Linked DNA regions of Arabidopsis thaliana. The main gene of each other region encodes a partner of the protein of the gene in region 4 in a complex. Each region holds a gene or a part of one and is shown on either strand. Other genes may lie near its edges. The genes, in order: PnsB4, NdhS, PnsB1 and Pnsl5.

Evidence for each region.
Region 1: Pnsl5 (region 4) and PnsB4 share a complex: the UniProt entries of both Arabidopsis thaliana proteins name them as parts of the chloroplast NDH complex.
Region 2: Pnsl5 (region 4) and NdhS share a complex: the UniProt entries of both Arabidopsis thaliana proteins name them as parts of the chloroplast NDH complex.
Region 3: Pnsl5 (region 4) and PnsB1 share a complex: the UniProt entries of both Arabidopsis thaliana proteins name them as parts of the chloroplast NDH complex.

The regions. Positions count from the first base shown.
Region 1 is NC_003070.9:6,458,579-6,462,984, forward strand, and holds PnsB4 (NDH dependent flow 6), read left to right. Parts: upstream 1-1,824; 5' UTR 1,825-2,046; coding exon 2,047-2,112; intron 2,113-2,188; coding exon 2,189-2,230; intron 2,231-2,265; exon of another isoform or gene 2,266-2,317; coding exon 2,318-2,495; intron 2,496-2,595; coding exon 2,596-2,651; intron 2,652-2,739; coding exon 2,740-2,811; coding exon of another isoform or gene 2,812-2,886; exon of another isoform or gene 2,887-3,265; coding exon of another isoform or gene 3,266-3,271; exon of another isoform or gene 3,272-3,415; coding exon 3,416-3,529; 3' UTR 3,530-3,766; downstream 3,767-4,406. Other genes in the region: AT1G18720 (ER membrane protein, putative (DUF962)), read right to left, coding at 718-1,080. UniProt on the Arabidopsis thaliana protein: NDH shuttles electrons from NAD(P)H:plastoquinone, via FMN and iron-sulfur (Fe-S) centers, to quinones in the photosynthetic chain and possibly in a chloroplast respiratory chain.
Region 2 is NC_003075.7:12,419,712-12,423,117, forward strand, and holds NdhS (NAD(P)H-quinone oxidoreductase subunit S), read right to left. Parts: upstream 1,754-3,406; 5' UTR 1,635-1,753; coding exon 882-1,634; 3' UTR 703-881; downstream 1-702. Other genes in the region: AT4G23885 (uncharacterized protein), read left to right, coding at 182-327, 512-529; AT4G23895 (Pleckstrin homology (PH) domain-containing protein), read left to right, coding at 3,172-3,299, 3,385-3,406. UniProt on the Arabidopsis thaliana protein: NDH shuttles electrons from NAD(P)H:plastoquinone, via FMN and iron-sulfur (Fe-S) centers, to quinones in the photosynthetic chain and possibly in a chloroplast respiratory chain.
Region 3 is NC_003070.9:5,487,268-5,492,031, forward strand, and holds PnsB1 (NDH-dependent cyclic electron flow 1), read left to right. Parts: upstream 1-1,877; 5' UTR 1,878-2,046; coding exon 2,047-2,471; intron 2,472-2,569; coding exon 2,570-2,720; intron 2,721-2,807; coding exon 2,808-2,998; intron 2,999-3,070; coding exon 3,071-3,328; intron 3,329-3,407; coding exon 3,408-3,513; intron 3,514-3,599; coding exon 3,600-3,685; intron 3,686-3,763; coding exon 3,764-3,932; 3' UTR 3,933-4,036; downstream 4,037-4,764. Other genes in the region: AT1G15970 (DNA glycosylase superfamily protein), read right to left, coding at 1-31, 119-176, 765-1,227; CNGC7 (cyclic nucleotide gated channel 7), read right to left, coding at 4,037-4,756. UniProt on the Arabidopsis thaliana protein: NDH shuttles electrons from NAD(P)H:plastoquinone, via FMN and iron-sulfur (Fe-S) centers, to quinones in the photosynthetic chain and possibly in a chloroplast respiratory chain.
Region 4 is NC_003076.8:4,161,734-4,166,536, reverse strand, and holds Pnsl5 (cyclophilin 20-2), read left to right. Parts: upstream 1-1,613; 5' UTR 1,614-1,816; coding exon 1,817-1,840; intron 1,841-1,933; coding exon 1,934-2,146; intron 2,147-2,290; coding exon 2,291-2,533; intron 2,534-3,116; coding exon 3,117-3,171; intron 3,172-3,365; coding exon 3,366-3,451; intron 3,452-3,664; coding exon 3,665-3,823; 3' UTR 3,824-4,163; downstream 4,164-4,803. UniProt on the Arabidopsis thaliana protein: NDH shuttles electrons from NAD(P)H:plastoquinone, via FMN and iron-sulfur (Fe-S) centers, to quinones in the photosynthetic chain and possibly in a chloroplast respiratory chain.

The DNA.
Region 1 (4,406 bases), on a different chromosome or scaffold from region 4:
GTATTAACTGTTTTCCCCTTGCTGTTGAATACATATAACAAACTAATCAAATGATTCAGACTGAAGATACATATAAACTAATCAAATGATTCACAACACAGAAGATACATAAAAAAGCTCCTAAGTTACAGATGTCTCAAATACTATGGAAGAAAAACCAAACTTTAGTTAAACAAGTGATGTAGATTCTAATTATCTGAGACCATCCAAATGTTGGTGGTCAAGAACAACACTTGTTTCCGTCCAAGCACACATCAAATCCTCTTAACCAATGAGTCAACAACACTAAAAACATGACAAGTCTCCGGACCAAAGAATCAGAACCGTGCAAAGGTGGACAATTGCAGAACAAACTGCAATAACTACTAATCATGAATGTTCAAAGCTAGAGACATGATATTAGTACTGCTGTCTCAACGTTAACAGCTAATGAAGGGACCCATAGACAACAGATAGAGAGGACTAATGATATAAATAAATCTATTTCTTCTTCCCCGAGCATAACCAATGATATAAACGAACTTTCAAGTCAAAGCATAGAAAACAATGAACAATAAATGCATGAACCACACTCACATCATATAAATATACACATAGAGCAACACATGGATACACATAGTCATATACCCTCATAAACATGCTTCTACGCAATTATTTTCTCCAAAAATGAAGTTTTTTCAAAAACCCTAAATTGAAATTAGAGAAAAAAAATCTAACCTTTAAGGCAAGAGAAGATCCTAGTCGAACAGCAAGAAAACTGGAACCAACCCAGCAAGAGAAACACATAAGAGCAGCTACAAATCCAGATTTCTTATCCAAACCGATATAGAACAGAGCATAAATCAAGGCGAATATAAACCCAACGTTAAATCGCAAAACGCCGTCGAGGGTCAACGATTGAGAAAACCCTAATTGAGAGGGGTCGAAAATTGGGGTCGACGAGTGGAGGAGAAGTAAAACTGAGAAGAAGATTGGCCAAACGAAGATGATGTGGATTAGAATGTTGATCGGATTGCTATGGTAAGCACCGTAGAAGGCGAAGTGTTTCTCGAGATCGAACAATCCCATTATGCGACTCATGGATAAAAAATTCGTTGAGGAAGAGGTGTTTTTATGAGGAGAAGATCGGTGGAAATTGGATAATAGTCACCAAACAGAGGAGATTAAAGATATACACGGGAAGAAGACGAAAGTGGAAAGTTTGATTAGCAATTTCCCGAAAATGATGCTAACGTGCGCTTTTTAATAGCTAACATGCGCTTTTTAAAGCGATAGAAGTTGACTTGGCCGGAGATTTTCTTCCGACTTTTGACAAAATACTAGTCGCTAAGAAGAGTAGACGTGTTATTGTGATTGCTAACATGCGCGAATAAAAGCTGGTTTAGATGGATATACATCATTGAAAGTTTGGCAAATAGAACATACACTATTCAACGAATGATGTATTTGGGATGATTGCTAACATGCGCGCATAGGAAGTTGAATTAGATGGAAATATCATTAAAAGTTTGGCAATAGTTGCCAACGTACGCTATTCAACAAATGATGTATTTGGGAAGAGACATAAGCGGAAAGTTTGAATTTCACCAACCAAAGATTTATTAGCAATTTTAGTGTGGTTACTAACTTGCACGTCTAGAGGAGTGAACGTGTTTAGTGATTGCTAACCTGCGCGAATGGAAAGTTTGTTGGACGGGTAAAATACGAAAGTTTGTAGTTGAATTTTGCTGGAAATATCTTTACCACTCTTTAAGGCAAATAGTTGTTCCCAACCTGAGCGTTTTAGAAGGCTAAAATGTGTACTGTGATTGTCTAAATTGGGCTTTTAAAAGACAAAAAAAGTGTTATGCGATGTGATTGCTAACGTACGTTATTTTTTTATTTTGTTTATCACAAAAGTGAAGAGTGGACGATACCAATTCCCTTATCCACACATTTTCTGCCTCAAAAAATCTAATCTTAAAGATTAAAATAAATGAAAAAATAAAAAAGATTACACCAACATTTTTTTTTTTTCTTCTCCATTGCCACCATCAAGAAGTAACAATGGCTGAAGCTTTCACAAGTTTCACCTTCACAAATCTTCATATTCCTTCTTCCTACAATCACTCGGTACATATTATTTTATATTCTTACCAAAAATATTTCATTACGAAAAAAAGTTTAAGAATTGTGTATTGTGTTGTAGCCGAAGCAGAATTCAGGACCGAATCATGGATATTGGCTATCTGTAAGTAATTTTCTCTAACTAAGACTAAAATTAGAAAAAAAATCTCCATATTCTTGTGAATTTACGTCTTAGAATTTGAAAAATTAGAAGAATGTTAATGAGAAGAGGGAAAGGAATTTGATGAGAGGAAGCTTATGTGTAAGAAAGGCATTGCCACATGATTTGCCATTAATGGCTGTGATGGTTCAACAAATAGAAGGAATGCGTGATATCATTACAGAGAAACACGTGTGGCATCTAAGTGATAAAGCTATCAAGAATGTTTGTAAGTTAAACACTTGGGGTTTCTTGAGAGATTTTATTTTCTTTCTTAGACTTTTTTTTCTTCTTTTTCTTATGTTTTGATATTGATCTTGATATGGCAGATATGTTCTACATCATGTTCACTTGTTGGGGATGTTTGTACTTCGGTTCAGCAAAAGTATGAAAACAACAACTCAAACTGAATCTTTTGATACATTTGCTGCATTGGGATCTTAATAGTACTTTGTGATATTGGATCAATACAGGATCCATTCTACGACTCAGAGGAGTACCGTGGAGATGGAGGGGATGGAACTGGATATTGGGTCTATGAAACTGTATGTATCTCTCCCTTTCTAATACTATTAGGAAAGAAAGAAAAAAACTTAGAAATGCATACAAATTATAACTAGGGATGTTGCAATGGACCGACCAACCCGCTGTGGTCTTACTAGACCCTGTGGACCAGTTCAGATCTAGTTTGACCTCAGACTATCCCACCTTGGTCTTAGTAGGCCATGTAGACCTGTTCAGAGCCGGTTTTGAGTACTCCTCCATGTGTCTCAGCATGCGATAAACCTCCCTAAACAAAGAAAAATAGGTGGCTTTTAGGTTAGCGTTTACCGTTGGTATATATGCACCCAAAAATATGAATCCACAACCTTGATCATCTAAACGAAAGTCACAATCTGATAGATGGTAGGTAACATTGATCCATCCTATTGATAGATCAATCATGCTTAGTAAGTTTGAGCCGGGTTGGGCTTGATATAATAATTCAAACGTTAACAGATCTGATGGTAGGTAACATTGATCCTAAGTTGGGTCGGGCTGGGCTTGCTCGGGCCATTGACCTTTGGTATATCATCACAGATTCACAATGTGTACAACTATTATAAGATTGGATAGAGTTGTTATTGTGTTTTGGGTTATATGATGCAGCAAGAAGACATAGAAGAGAAAGCAAGAGCGGAGCTATGGCGTGAAGAACTTATCGAAGAAATTGAACAGAAGGTTGGTGGCTTAAGAGAGCTTGAAGAAGCTGTTACTAAGTAGAAAACTAACTTGTGAATCATAAACCACTTTACATACACATTATATATTTTCTTATATCAGTCATGCAACATTATATATACTCTCTAGCTTCCATATATATAATATATGTTATGTACTTCTTTGTTGTCTTGTGTTCTGAATCATTGAACGATCATGTTAGGAGCAATTGTCTCCTTCAGAAATTTATTGTTGACGACATCCGATGTCTTAAAAATATAAATAATTATGTTTGGTAAACTATCTTAATTTGCTTTTCTTGATTTCTTCGGTCGCAAGTTGGTCAGAGTGAATATTTATTATTTTTAAGTATAAAAAATTTAGTCAATTGGGGCTAAATTAATTGGTCGTATAGACTGGAAAGTGAGTCTGATGAGGAACAATTAGCGGGAAATACGCTTCTGCACGATTCTACCTGACAAAAACCAAAACTAATCAATCTTTAAAAACAAAAAATAAGTTAGCAGAGGTGAAGAAGGAGAGCTTGTCATGTCTTTGTCAGTAACCTTCGTGCTTCCATGTTTCAAAGCCTCTTCGAGCTTGTAATTGTAAACCACACGTGTGGTTTATTGTTTTTGTTTTCTTTTCAAATTTAAGTTTAATTTTCAGATATTTCTTTTTTTTGTGTGTGTGTTAGGAACACATGACAGGAGATATGATGTAACATTTTTATTTAAACAAAAAAAAGATCTGCATCACTGCATGTAGTGTATTTTGTCGTGTGTCAATTAATTCTTATAGTTGTACAATTTTAATTCTGGCCCAAACATGATTGATGACTTGTTAATGACACATATTTACCATATTCCATTATAATTATTTTTTTTCATTATACAGTTTCATAATAATACATTTCAATTTTCGGTTACCAAAAAACACC
Region 2 (3,406 bases), on a different chromosome or scaffold from region 4:
TCGCTCTGATTGATTTGCATTTACATAGTTAGATTCAAAGGATACACAGATTTGTTTAGCCATTGAATCGAATCGTGTTTGTTATCAAATCTCGAATCATTATAGAGAAGCTCTTATGTTTTTTAGCTTTTGGTTTGGGTAATCATCTGTTTGTTATGCGATTTACTTTCTGGCATTGCAGCTTCAGAGGGAAAGAGTCAGGTGGCAAATGAAGCTGATACATTGTTCTTCTCCAATTTGAACAACATCCAAAAGACTACTGGCGGGAAGGCATCATCGCAGCCAAAGCGCACGCCAGTTTCAAACGAAGAAATGGAAGCCATTTTGGTATGTAACTTCATTTTGACATGTATAACAACACTTAGATGAACATGTATCTAACAGTATAATGTGTGACCAACTACTAAGTTATAATTATGTGACCAATTACAAGTTGAGAGAACCCTTTTCATGATTTAATAATATTGTTCTGTTTCTAACTTCCTTATCCTTTTCTGAATTTTTTTTACAGTTGGGAGGCTGCATCTGATCATTTCAACATGATCTGTTGACAAGAATGGTGGATCACTTCTCATCTTTACCATTTACAGAATATACTCGATAGTCAAGAAGAAACTGATATGGTTGATGTTTACAACAACCAATGATAACAATAAAACTACTCCATTGCAGTTTTTAACTTCTATACTGATTCATCATTGATTGAGTGCATTTGAATCTCTATTATTAAGTGCTTTATGATTGAAATTCATCGTTTATTCTTTTTTTTATATCACATGATGAAGCTCTTTTAGAACCAGTCAGAAATATTGTAGCCTAAAACGCAAAGGTACGTTACATATACATTCACAGGAACTTACATACAGAGAAGAGAAGATCACTTATGGTGCTGCCTCTTCCTTTTGCATCTGTTCGATAAGAGGCTCGAGAATACAAGACTTTGGATTCTTACCCGGTGGACCTTTTTCTCTTCGTTCAAGCTCTTCAAGCCTGAAAGTAATGAGACGGTCCCAGTTTCCTCCTTCGAACAAGACACCAGCTTTTCCATCAGTGATCCTCTGCACAATTCCACAATACATGTGATACGGACTGTTCTGGTTCTTGACTATAGCAATCATCCCCGGCATGAGAAGGGGTAGCTTGGGCGCTTTCGGCTTCTTATCTGTAGCAACCGCGGATGCATCGCTTCCTTGTTTTGCAGGTGGTGGTGGTGGAGGAGGTGGTGGATTTTTTTCGATAAACGTTTTTAAACCCTTTTCGCCACCGGGAAATCCTCCTGTGAGACCCATCATCTCTTTCTCGAAACCATCTTCAGGTACTTTAAAAGACAAGTTACTGTCATCGCTCTCTCTCTCTGTCTCGTTGTTCTCAGCCTTTGATGTCTCTTGCTCGTCTTCAATGTTCCTCTGGAGCTCCTTCTCAATACCTTTCTCTCCGTTGCATAATCCTCTTCCTCCCATCACTTCCCATAGATTGAATTTACCCATGGCCTTTACTTGATACAGTTTTGACTGCTGTTTTGGAGGCGGGAAAACCGACCGGTTTACAGTTGAAAATTGATGTGTTTGGCCTAGAAATTTTGATCGATGAATCGGAGTTCTAATGGTCGGGATAGTGATCGAAGAAGTCGCCATAACTATTTTTGCCTGCAGAGTAGAGTAGAGGTGACTAAGGGAGATATGAAGAAGATGGAAGAGGAAGGAAGAAGCGTGTGATTGATTCGCTTGTTATAATGACCACATATCATGATTTCAGTTAGATGAGTTCTATCTATTTCCAAATTACCAGTGGACCTGAACCGGTTAATGCGTAACCGGTGTTTGGAATAATGATTTAGGAGAAAGAGTAGGAACATTTGGGCTTTGTCATAAGTTTAACCTGGACCAAGTTTGAATATTCTTAAGAGATATGGGCCTAGATTAAAAACAATGGTAATGTAATTAAACATATTGCTAAATGCTAATAATGTGGATTTGTTTGTTTATTAAGAAAAAAGCAGCAAGAAGAAGATAAATCATTTGGGTCAACGACATTAATAATTGGAATCCCATACTCCCAAATCATAATTAGACATACACTTTTGTCTTAGGCTGTCCTTTACACTCATCGGCATCACCAAATACTTAGTTGGCAACTTTGATCAATTAATGTATTAAGCATGAATGAAAACAACTTTTACATTGATTCGATAAATTCATTATATTGTAGATAAGATTAGTCAAAAGTTTACAAACATTCGTTAACAAATTACAAAACTTGTAATATCTGCAGCAATGCCCATGTGGGTAGAGCTGGCTGACGCAACCTAACCGGGGGATAAAAGCGTCTTTTTGGTACCAAATTTAAAGTTTCTTTATGAGTAAAATTCCCAAACCCAACATCTTCTTCCTGCTGAAGCAGTAAGCACTCAACCAAAAAACCAATTGCGTAAACACTTTCCCTTGAATACAGAGATCACATTCGATCAGGTAAAAACAAGGTCTCGATCTTCTCTTCAGTCAATTTTTTCAAATTATTCGAGGTTCCCGTCATTCGATTCCGACTTCCGAGCTTCTATTTCTGCTCAATGTTTTTGTATTTTGTTAGGGTTTCCAGAAAATTCGATTCTGTTGTTTTTAATTTGAGCTAATAAAATCTAGAATGGGAAAAAGAAAGAGTTCATTTTCGTCCTCTTTCTTTTTGTAGAAGCTGAACTTTGTTTTTCTTTTACAGCGAGCTGATTTCTCACAAGGGATATCAAAATTTCTGGTGAAGTGGGATTGTAAAATTCGGCGTTGAAAGATATATAAAGAGGTATGTTTGATCCTCAGTGAGGAATAAGGATTTTTAGTAGTTATATATCTCTCCAAGTGATGATACATACATACTTGTGGATTAGATCTATGATAAGAATAAGCATAAGATAGAGACTGAGAGACAAGTCATTTAGGGAGATTAAATAATGTTCATGGAATGCTAAAGTTCATATAGGAGTTTGTCTCATATCAGAATCTAGATTAGATCATGCTCAGATGACATCTCTTGAATGGACAAAAAAGTTTTTAACTATGTGATTTTTTCGACTTCTTTTGGGGAATCAATGTACTACAAGCTGAGAGTTTTAGAGTAGTTTCATCTCTGGCTAAGCTTTGATTCATTTTCTAGTGGAAGGTTCTGGAGTCGTTTCAATTCATGGATGATGGTACTCCTAAGAAGCTAAACATATTACCTGATCACTTTAGTGCTCCTAGTCCCACAGCAGAATCTTCTCAGCACGATACTCCATCATCTTCGCAGCCAAAGGACGATAGTTCTCTGAGGTAAATTGTTAGCGAATAAATATGCTAAGAAGGGAAATTCTGAGCTGAAATGAATTGTTTTTTCGGGTGGTTTTGTTTAGAGTAGGCCTTATAGCCAGTCACGGACT
Region 3 (4,764 bases), on a different chromosome or scaffold from region 4:
ACCAGAGAGGCATAATAACTCAAAAAGCTTCCTACACAAGTTAACCAAGCGGTAAGAGACTCTTATAACTACAAAGTGTATCTCAGATAGAAGGAAAATAGTTGAGGATGCCACATACTTGTCGTCATGTACAGGAACTCCCCATTCTTCGTCATGGAAAGCAACATAGCACGGGTCTTTACAACGTAGAAAAACGCAACATTATTAGTCAATTTACAGCAGAGAAAGATATGAAGCATGAGAGAACAACAAAGAATAATGGAAAGTGCCTCTTGGCATGGAAACATTTATGCTCATTAGTATAGAGAATCCAGAAAACGCTGTTTGGCTTACACTAAAAGCATAAACGAAGTGGATCTATCAGCTAATCAAAACATCCTTCATCTAAATTTCATGGACACTGAGAAGTTAAAATATTTATAAGAGAACTTCAGGACAAGCTACTTCATAAGTTATGCAACATAGCAAATGATCTACACAATGCTCACTGAATAAAATACATAGCAATTGAAACATTTTGTTGGCCATTGAATTACTTAATATTCACATACAGAAGAACATAATTAGATCAAACAAAAAACACTAGCTCCTTGTCTCAATTCAGTCCCATTTGATTCAACTAGATAAGAACTTTATCATCTCACACAATCAGGCTAAACTCAATCTCACATTCACATTTTCACTCATTTCATTTATTTGAATGCATCTAAAGTCAAAAGCTCTCTCACTATGCAATGTGTGATAGGTGAAAGTTTGATGCTTACCAGCTTTAGGTGTGATCCAAGCACACCTTTTACGACCATCAGCGAAGCAATCACCAGAAACCTTCTCTTCTTCTTTCCCAACACTCAGCTTCCTTGTAGAAGAGACAGACCCACTTCGCCTCACAACCTTCTTACAGCTCGAAGAAGACGCCACGCTCAAAGGCGATGACTCACACGAAGACGAAGCATCAGAGGAATACGAAGCAGTCATTGAAGCACTATTCTTTCTCAAAATCGAAGAGCAAAGAGACGAGCATTGCTTCAGAGTCGTCCTTGGTGAAGCCGGAGTAGTTGGTTTCTTCGCTTTCTCATCTTTTGAGTCGATGATGGTCTTCTCCATCATCGGCTTCTCCAGTTTCATCCCCGGTGGTTTCCTCTGCAGCTTGTTCCCGGTAGGACCAAGAACTGATCGGAACTCTCGCTCATCGGAATTTACGGACCGGAATCTAGGAGGAACCGACATTGACCCGATTCTCACAAAAAACTGCTTTTTGATTTCACAGATCTATCACTGGATCACACAACAACAACAAAATTGCTATTTCCAACAGTCTCGAAACTTATTTCAAGAGATTATATATCGGAAGGCCTAGACTTTACAGCTACATTAGCACCAAAAATGAAACTTTTTTGTCACCGCTAAATATCTCATTTTTAGGAATCTTCTAGTAAAACTAAACCAAGTTGCTTGCTGTGTTCACGAGAAAAGCAAGGTTAGAAACAATGAGCAACAAAATAAAATCTTTGAACAATGAAGAAAAAAAAAGCTTTTGACTTCAGAAAAACCCAGAAAAAAAAAAGAAAGAAAGAAGCTTTTTCTGATCGACGACGAAACGAATCAAATCGAGAGAGAGAGACGAGGAGAAAAGGTCATTCACCAGTCACGACTTAACACGTCATCGTTTGGTTCTTCTGCTTTTTCTGTTCTTTTGTTCCTCGACCCGACAATGAAACGGGTCCTTATTGCTCGACCCGACAAGTTAAATGGTTTAATTGCTTACTGTAATCAGTTGGTTAATGCTTCTGAGTTCTGAGATTAGGAATGTTTCTTTGCTCGTGCGTATCAACCAATGTAAAGACAAAAGTTTTAATTAATCGAACAGAGAATAATTTCTGGAATTGCCATAACCAAAATAAATAAATTAAATGCTAAGTTTTCTTCTATGGTCGGAAAATTGCCACAAAAGGGACCCACTTATCCTAAGTTCCTACAGAGATCTGTTTTCTTTCACAACATTTAAAAATCCAAACTTTTCTTTCTTTGGCTCAAAAAAACCTTCCAATGGCTTCTTCACTTCCTCTGTTACCCAAACCCATTTCCCCATTCTTTAAAACGCCGCCGTTTTCTACCTCCAAACCACTCGTCTTCCTCAACTTTCAAACTCGTCTTACGTCGAGATCTTCCGATGTATCGGTCAATCTCAAGAAGAAGAATAATCCGTGGCTCGACCCGTTTGATAGCGGTGAAGACCCGGATAACGAATACGGGTCCTTGTTTGCCGACGGAAAACAAGACGAGGATCCAAGACCACCGGATAATCCTGATAACCCTTACGGCTTCTTGAAGTTTCCAAAGGGTTACACCGTCGAGCTTGCTTCTTTACCGTTGAAAATCAGAGGAGATGTTAGACGATGTTGCTGCGTTATCTCCGGTGGCGTTTACGAGAATCTACTCTTTTTCCCGACTATTCAGCTAATCAAAGACAGGTAATAAAAGTATAAGACTCTGTCTCCGATTCGACATTTTTTTAAAACCTTAAACTGAAATGCAGAACATTGTCCGTACGTTTCTGTTGTTTTGTAAGGTATCCTGGTGTTCAGGTAGATATATTAACGACTGAAAGAGGAAAACAAACATACGAGCTAAACAAAAACGTGAGATGGGCCAATGTGTATGATCCGGATGATCATTGGCCTGAACCAGCTGAATACACAGACATGATCGGACTCCTCAAAGTTTGTAACTTTCAAATATTTCAACGTTTTTTCTATCTTTCCTTTATCAGACTGCTTAGTTAACTTTTCTTTTAAGTCATGTTTCAGGGAAGGTACTATGACATGGTTCTGTCCACGAAGCTAGCAGGGTTAGGCCACGCAGCGTTCTTGTTCATGACAACGGCTCGAGACAGGGTTAGTTACATTTACCCGAATGTTAACTCTGCAGGAGCTGGTCTGATGCTGTCCGAGACCTTTACAGCAGAAAATACCAACCTTTCAGAATTAGGTTATAGCATGTGAGTTCCTTGAAACCGAAGAAACTGCAGGTTTTTTTATCGCCTGTCTAAATTGACTGTTGATGGTTTCAGGTATACTCAGATGGAAGATTGGTTAGGAAGACCGTTTAGGAGTGTTCCAAGGACTCCTCTGTTGCCACTTAGGGTATCGATTTCACGGAAAGTGAAAGAGGTTGTGGCTGCAAAGTATAGGAATGCTGGAGCAGTGACGGGGAAGTTTATAGTGATTCATGGTATTGAATCAGATTCTAAGGCATCAATGCAATCAAAAGGAGATGCTGATAGTTTACTTTCACTTGAAAAATGGGCTAAGATTATAAAGGGTGTAAGGTAATTATTACACACCTTCAAAATGTGAATTTTTTGCTTAGTTTGAAATTCTCTGAGATATGATTGTGAACAATGCCAGGGGATTCAAGCCGGTCTTTGTGATTCCACATGAGAAAGAAAGAGAAAACGTTGAAGATTTTGTGGGTGATGATACATCTATAGTGTTCATCACAACACCAGGACAGGTATGCATGCTTATCTGTCTGTATTTGTTATGAACAAAGTTGAATTCACTGATCTTACTTTGATTCCTTTTCTTGAGCTTACTTAGTTGGCTGCTCTGATAAACGATTCTGCTGGAGTCATCGCAACAAACACAGCTGCGATTCAACTAGCTAATGCGCGAGACAAACCATGGTGAATACCTGAGTAATATAAAGAGTACTGATTCAATGTTTTCAAGAACTAACATGTGTGTGCTTCTTTTTCTTCCAGTATTGGGTTGTTCTCTTCAGAAGAGAAAGGGAAGCTCTTTGTACCGTATGCAGAAGAGAAGAGTAACTGTGTAATTATTGCTTCGAAGACTGGAAAACTAGCAGATATCGACATTGGAACTGTTAAAAATGCAATGCAGGTCTTTGAAGGATCATTGGCTCTCGTGTAGATAACTTTACAGTTTCTGAAACAAGTTCTATATATAGAGCATTTATGTGTATAAATCAGTTATGTAGTCTCTGTTCTGATGTTGGCCTCTCATCAAGAATTGGATTATTCAGCATCAAAATCAGGTTCCGGAGGCTTTTGCAGATTTATCAAGGTCTTTGAACTCTCTGAGCTCCTAAGTCTGTGCCCTTTCAATGCATTAGCAGCAAATCTTGATGCAAATATCGTTGAACGCAGTCTAGAAGAAGACTCACTTCTTGTGATAACCATAGGCCTCTTGTCACTCTCATCATCATATTCATCTTCATAACCCAATTCTTCTTCTTTTTCTTCAATCCGTCTCAATTCAGCGTTTTTCCTTCTTGAATAGCGACGCCAAGCAGCTTGGATGAAGCAAGAAGCCCAAGTTCTCCATTGCTGAGAGTAAAACCTAAATGTTTGTTGAACCTGTCGACTATGAAGTCTCCTAAACTGACTTGCTACAAACTTCAGCTCTTCAGCTTCAAGAGCGAAAGCCTCTACTTCAGTCAGAGCCTTCACTGTTCTTGTGGAAGAAGGTAAGTTTGAGCCTGCTTTAGGGTCAAGAGCCCATGTCAGAAGCTCTTCACCACAAAAGTCTCCTTCTTTTAACAACCCTCTGTTGAAGAAACCGCTTCTTCCCCCATCTGTTGTTACACTTTCTAACCGGCCTCGGATTATGAACATCATTTCGTTAACGGGGTCTCCTTCACGCACAATGTAAGTGCTTTCCGTGAAAAGACTCGGCTTTAATCTCTCACAGATTGCGTCAAGTAATCTTTCATCCATATTAGCAAACAGAGGAACCTGTAGAA
Region 4 (4,803 bases):
TTCGTAACTCACAGGCCCATCTGTGTTATTAGAGCAACCCTAATGGTTAAACTTTTAATAGGTTTTTTCCAATTTTTTTAATTTTAAAATTTGAGATTTGAATTTAAGAGATTTTGTTGGTCTCTTAATTTTTCTTGGTTTAATGGTAGAAATTTTTAGTGAGTTTCTTATAGTAAAAAATATTATTAAAATGAAAATTATAAATATTCTATTTTATAAAATTTAATAATTAATACAAATACTAAAATTTTAAACCTACAAGAAATGAATATTGAGAATCGGAATAACAATTAGTAGTTAGTTTGATTCCCACCAAATTTGTGTTATATATGCTCAACCAAATCACCTTTCAATTGTTGATGCATAGCCCGATCACGAACTCGAGCACGAGAGACCATAAAATTACCGAGATTTGAAGACATATCTGTAGAGTAGTTAAAATAACTTGTGAAGAGATGGTTGATTCTGGTAGTATGAATTTAGATGCACCAAACGATTTTTTTCAATTTAGTCTTTGATTTGATTATTACGCCCTATGATGAGGAGCTCGACACATATCATCTTTCATCAACATTGACATCGCCATCGTAAATGGAAATAACGAAATGAAAACAATTCAACCGAAATGAAAAGAAAAAAATTGGGTCATATTTTTCCTTCTCTTCCCTCTCCACCAATAGAAGTTTGCCATGTAGGGTCCCTTTGTTGTTTGAAAAATACCGTAAGAGAGAAACAACCCTCTCAATTAAACTGATTTCTAATTTATTTTGGGCTATATAATTCAAGGGACCAACCCTCAAAAGCCCCTTAGAGGCTGCCGTTGGAGTTGGTCTCAGATACAAGGTTTAATTAGTTTTAACTTGCTCTAAAGCCTCTCTACTATAACTTTATTACATTTTGTTTAGTAACAAATGACATTCCCTCTTTTTCTCCCTTTTTGAAATAAATATTCTTTAGATTTACACAATTTTGTTGTTTTTTAGAACTGTTCATCGAAAAATTTCGTCATATTGTCACTAAACTTTTGTAACTTCTAAGAAATTTCCAATATGTTTTCAAAATTTTACCATATAAATACTAATTTTAAGAGAAAATTTGTATCAATAATATGGATTAAAACATGAAGTTAGATTTTTTTTAAAAAGCTTAAAGCCCAATTTTTTTAAAAAAATTGCAAATAATCAGTCTTGAGAATTGAGCATGTTACCAATTCATGTTATACGGAATTAACACTGAACTATATTTCGTTTAACCGTTAAATTATACATGGTACAAAAAAATTGATGTCGTTTACTACTATATAAATATTGTTGATGCCTTTTACTTGCTTGAGCCCAAGATCAACTCTACCTTCTATTTCCGTAATGAATGACAACATATAATCTTATAACTGTATTAATTTATAATTTTTTTATATGACTCGGTTAATTTCCGCGCGATGCATATTTTGTTTTGAAAAAATATTTTTGATTTGTATTTATGGTTTTATTTTCTTATATTAAATAAATATCAGAAATAGTGAACACACTATTTTCTTATAGTAGGTTTGTATTTTAGTTTATGAGATTAGTGTCATTTTGATACGATGAGTTTTTCTTTGTTTGCACTTTGCACAGGTAAATATGCTTCATAGGATCGGCTGACCTGACCCACTCAAAATTGACTCGATGCGAAGCCACGTAACCGGCAGGGGCATAACTGTAAATAACCATGGAATGTATTTCTCAGACTCTTTCGTGCTATCACTCGCTCATCGTCACCTTCACCTTCACCTACCATTTTTGCCAACAAACGCGAGCAAGAGTTTTGAGCTCCAATGGCGACCTTGTCGATGACTCTGGTGCGTTTAATTTTTCCCTTTTGTACTTTTGATTTTGTTTTACCTTTCCGCTTCTTCTGCTTCTCCTGCTCTAATTTTCGGTTATCATCATAGTCAAATCCGAAGTCGCTCTCAGCTCCTCCACGAAGACTTTCTCCGATCAATACCTCCGCTTTCACATCTACCTCTTTCCGATTGCGCACCAAATCTTCCTTCGATTCAATCTCGTTCTCGTCTTCAACTCCCTTCTCCGCCTCATCGCTCCTCCTTCACACGTCTTATACCAAAAGAAACCACCGCTGTTTCTCTGTTCAATCCAATGCTGAGGTTAGGGATTCTCTCATATCTTGTTAGTCACTGATGTCATTTGATGGAATTGGTTGTTTTATTCAGCTTACTCTTAGTTTTTTTTTTCCATTAGATTTACTAAAAGCTATGGAATCATAATATGATGTGGATTTTGTATTCCAGGTGGTTACTGAACCGCAATCGAAAATAACACACAAGGTGTATTTCGATATAAGTGTTGGCAATCCAGTGGGGAAGTTAGCTGGGAGGATTGTTATTGGATTGTATGGTGATGATGTTCCCCAAACTGTGGAGAACTTTCGTGCTCTATGCACAGGTGAAAAGGGATTTGGCTACAAGGGTTCTACATTCCATCGTGTCATCAGAGATTTCATGATTCAGGGAGGAGACTTTGAGAAGGGCAATGTGAGTTTTTCTGGCTGAATTCCTTGGCAGCACCAGTTTCTTGTTAGCTGACTTGCGGTCCATATTATGTTTCTTTTGATTTACTTTGGTTCATCTTATTTTCTGCCAAATCACAAAGTAAAGTAAGCTGTCTCATATCAGGATGGCAGGATGTTTATTAATTTCTTGGATGTGGTACATAGTATAAGTCAAATCTTTCTCGATAAGGAAGGATGCTTAAGTTCTTACTTGTACGGATTTAGAGTCGCTCTTGAAAGCACATGTTTGGGTACATTAATAGGAAAAAGCCTGACCTTTGGAGAGCTTTCTACAGACAATCTTTCTGATAGCTGGCTCTCTGATTTGTAGATCAGTGGCTTTAGAAGAACAACCCCTGTTAATCTTAGACTTTTGTTCTTTTCTATATAGATAATACCTGGGCTGTAGGGAACTTATATACTGGTTCGTGGGTATGCAACTAGCTGTAGCTCGGTAGAAATATATTGTTATTTTCTGTTTCTGCCCATCTCAGTTACCGAAGATTCTTCTAGTAACTGCTAGGAGAATTCCATAATAATGATACAGAAGTCTAATTGTTGAGCAGGGAACTGGAGGTAAAAGTGTATATGGCCGTACATTCAAGGATGAGAATTTCAAGTGTAAGTCTATCCTTTTTCACTTGTTTCCTTCTTCTTCATTCTCCCCAGCTGTGCTTTAGCATTCATATTTATCAGTGGTAATGCATTTTAACTAAACATTTCTGCATTCTCTTTTTAGCTGAGCTGAGTATAATATATACCAAACCTTCAGTTTTATAAAATTCATGAAAGTAATAATGTGCTATACGCTGCAGTATCCCATGTCGGACCAGGAGTTCTAAGTATGGCAAATGCTGGCCCTAATACAAATGGAAGTCAGTTCTTTATCTGCACTATTAAGGTAAAATCTCCCTCTGGTTAAGGCCTATTGTTAAATTAGAAGTTATACGTAGGCAAGCGAGCATCAACAATAAAGAACACAGGTATTACAGTATATAGAATCCAATAATATAACCTAAAGAGTAGAGTTTTGAAATTGGAAACGAAGAACCATCCAAGCTTTGTTGGGAAATTTAGTGTATATCAAATTAATATGCGATAACGATGTGGACAGACGTCATGGTTGGACGGAAGACATGTGGTGTTCGGGCAAGTAATAGAAGGAATGGAAGTGGTGAAGCTGATAGAGGAACAAGAGACAGACAGAGGAGACCGTCCCAGAAAGAAAGTGGTGATAGCAGACTGTGGTCAACTTCCAATGTCTGAAGCTTAAAAGTAAGATCATTTAACCAAAATCTTGTAGACATGAGATGGAGCTTGTTTTTGCATTTTACAACCCTTTCTTTTGTGTAATGGATTTGTATCCCCTTCTTCCAAAAATTTAAGAAAGAAATAGTATTCCGCTGCCGGGTGTTGAACTCATATTTCATTTCATTGGTTTGTTTCGAAATTAACCATTGTGTTATAGCGGTTCAGTTGCATTACTAAGATACAAAATCTGAAGATTCAAGAGTAGTCGATGCAGTTGTGAAATTGGTCTGTGTAATACAGCGGATTTGTTGGTTTGGTATACGAGCAATTTGTATTTAAAGTCCGATCTCTTCATAAAAAAGTAAGAACAACAATTGAAACAAAAAATATTCCGCTGCCCGGATTTGATCCCGGATTTCATTTTGAGTAGTGAAATTGGCCTGTGTGCTACAGCGGACTTGTTTGATTTATATACGAGGGATTTGTTTTTAAAGTCTGATATCTTATTGAAAACAATACTAATTAAAATAATAAGTATTCCGCTGCCGGGGTTTGATCCCGGATTTCATATTGAGTAGTGAAATTGGCCTGTGTGCTACAGCGGACTTTTTGGTTTTGTATATGAGTGATTTGTATTTAAAGTCTGATATCTTATTGAAAACTAACTAATTGAACCAAAAAGTATTACGCTGCCGAGGTTTGAGCCCGGATTTCAAATTCTGTTGTGAAATTGGCATGTGTGCTACAGCGGACTTGTTGAACATGTATCCGATCAATTTGTATATAAAGTCTGCTTTCAGATTAATGAACAATATAATTACTTGTACCTATCACATGTTTGTATTTTAGTGTTCTTTCTTTTTGGTCAACCTTTTCTAGATACAAGATATCTCTGAATACTAGAAGAGCACACCATAAAAAGAAGACATTTTCCTTGTAGAGAATAAGAGAAACCCCTTTGGTTTATTTATTTATTAAATGGTACATAACCAAATTGCACAA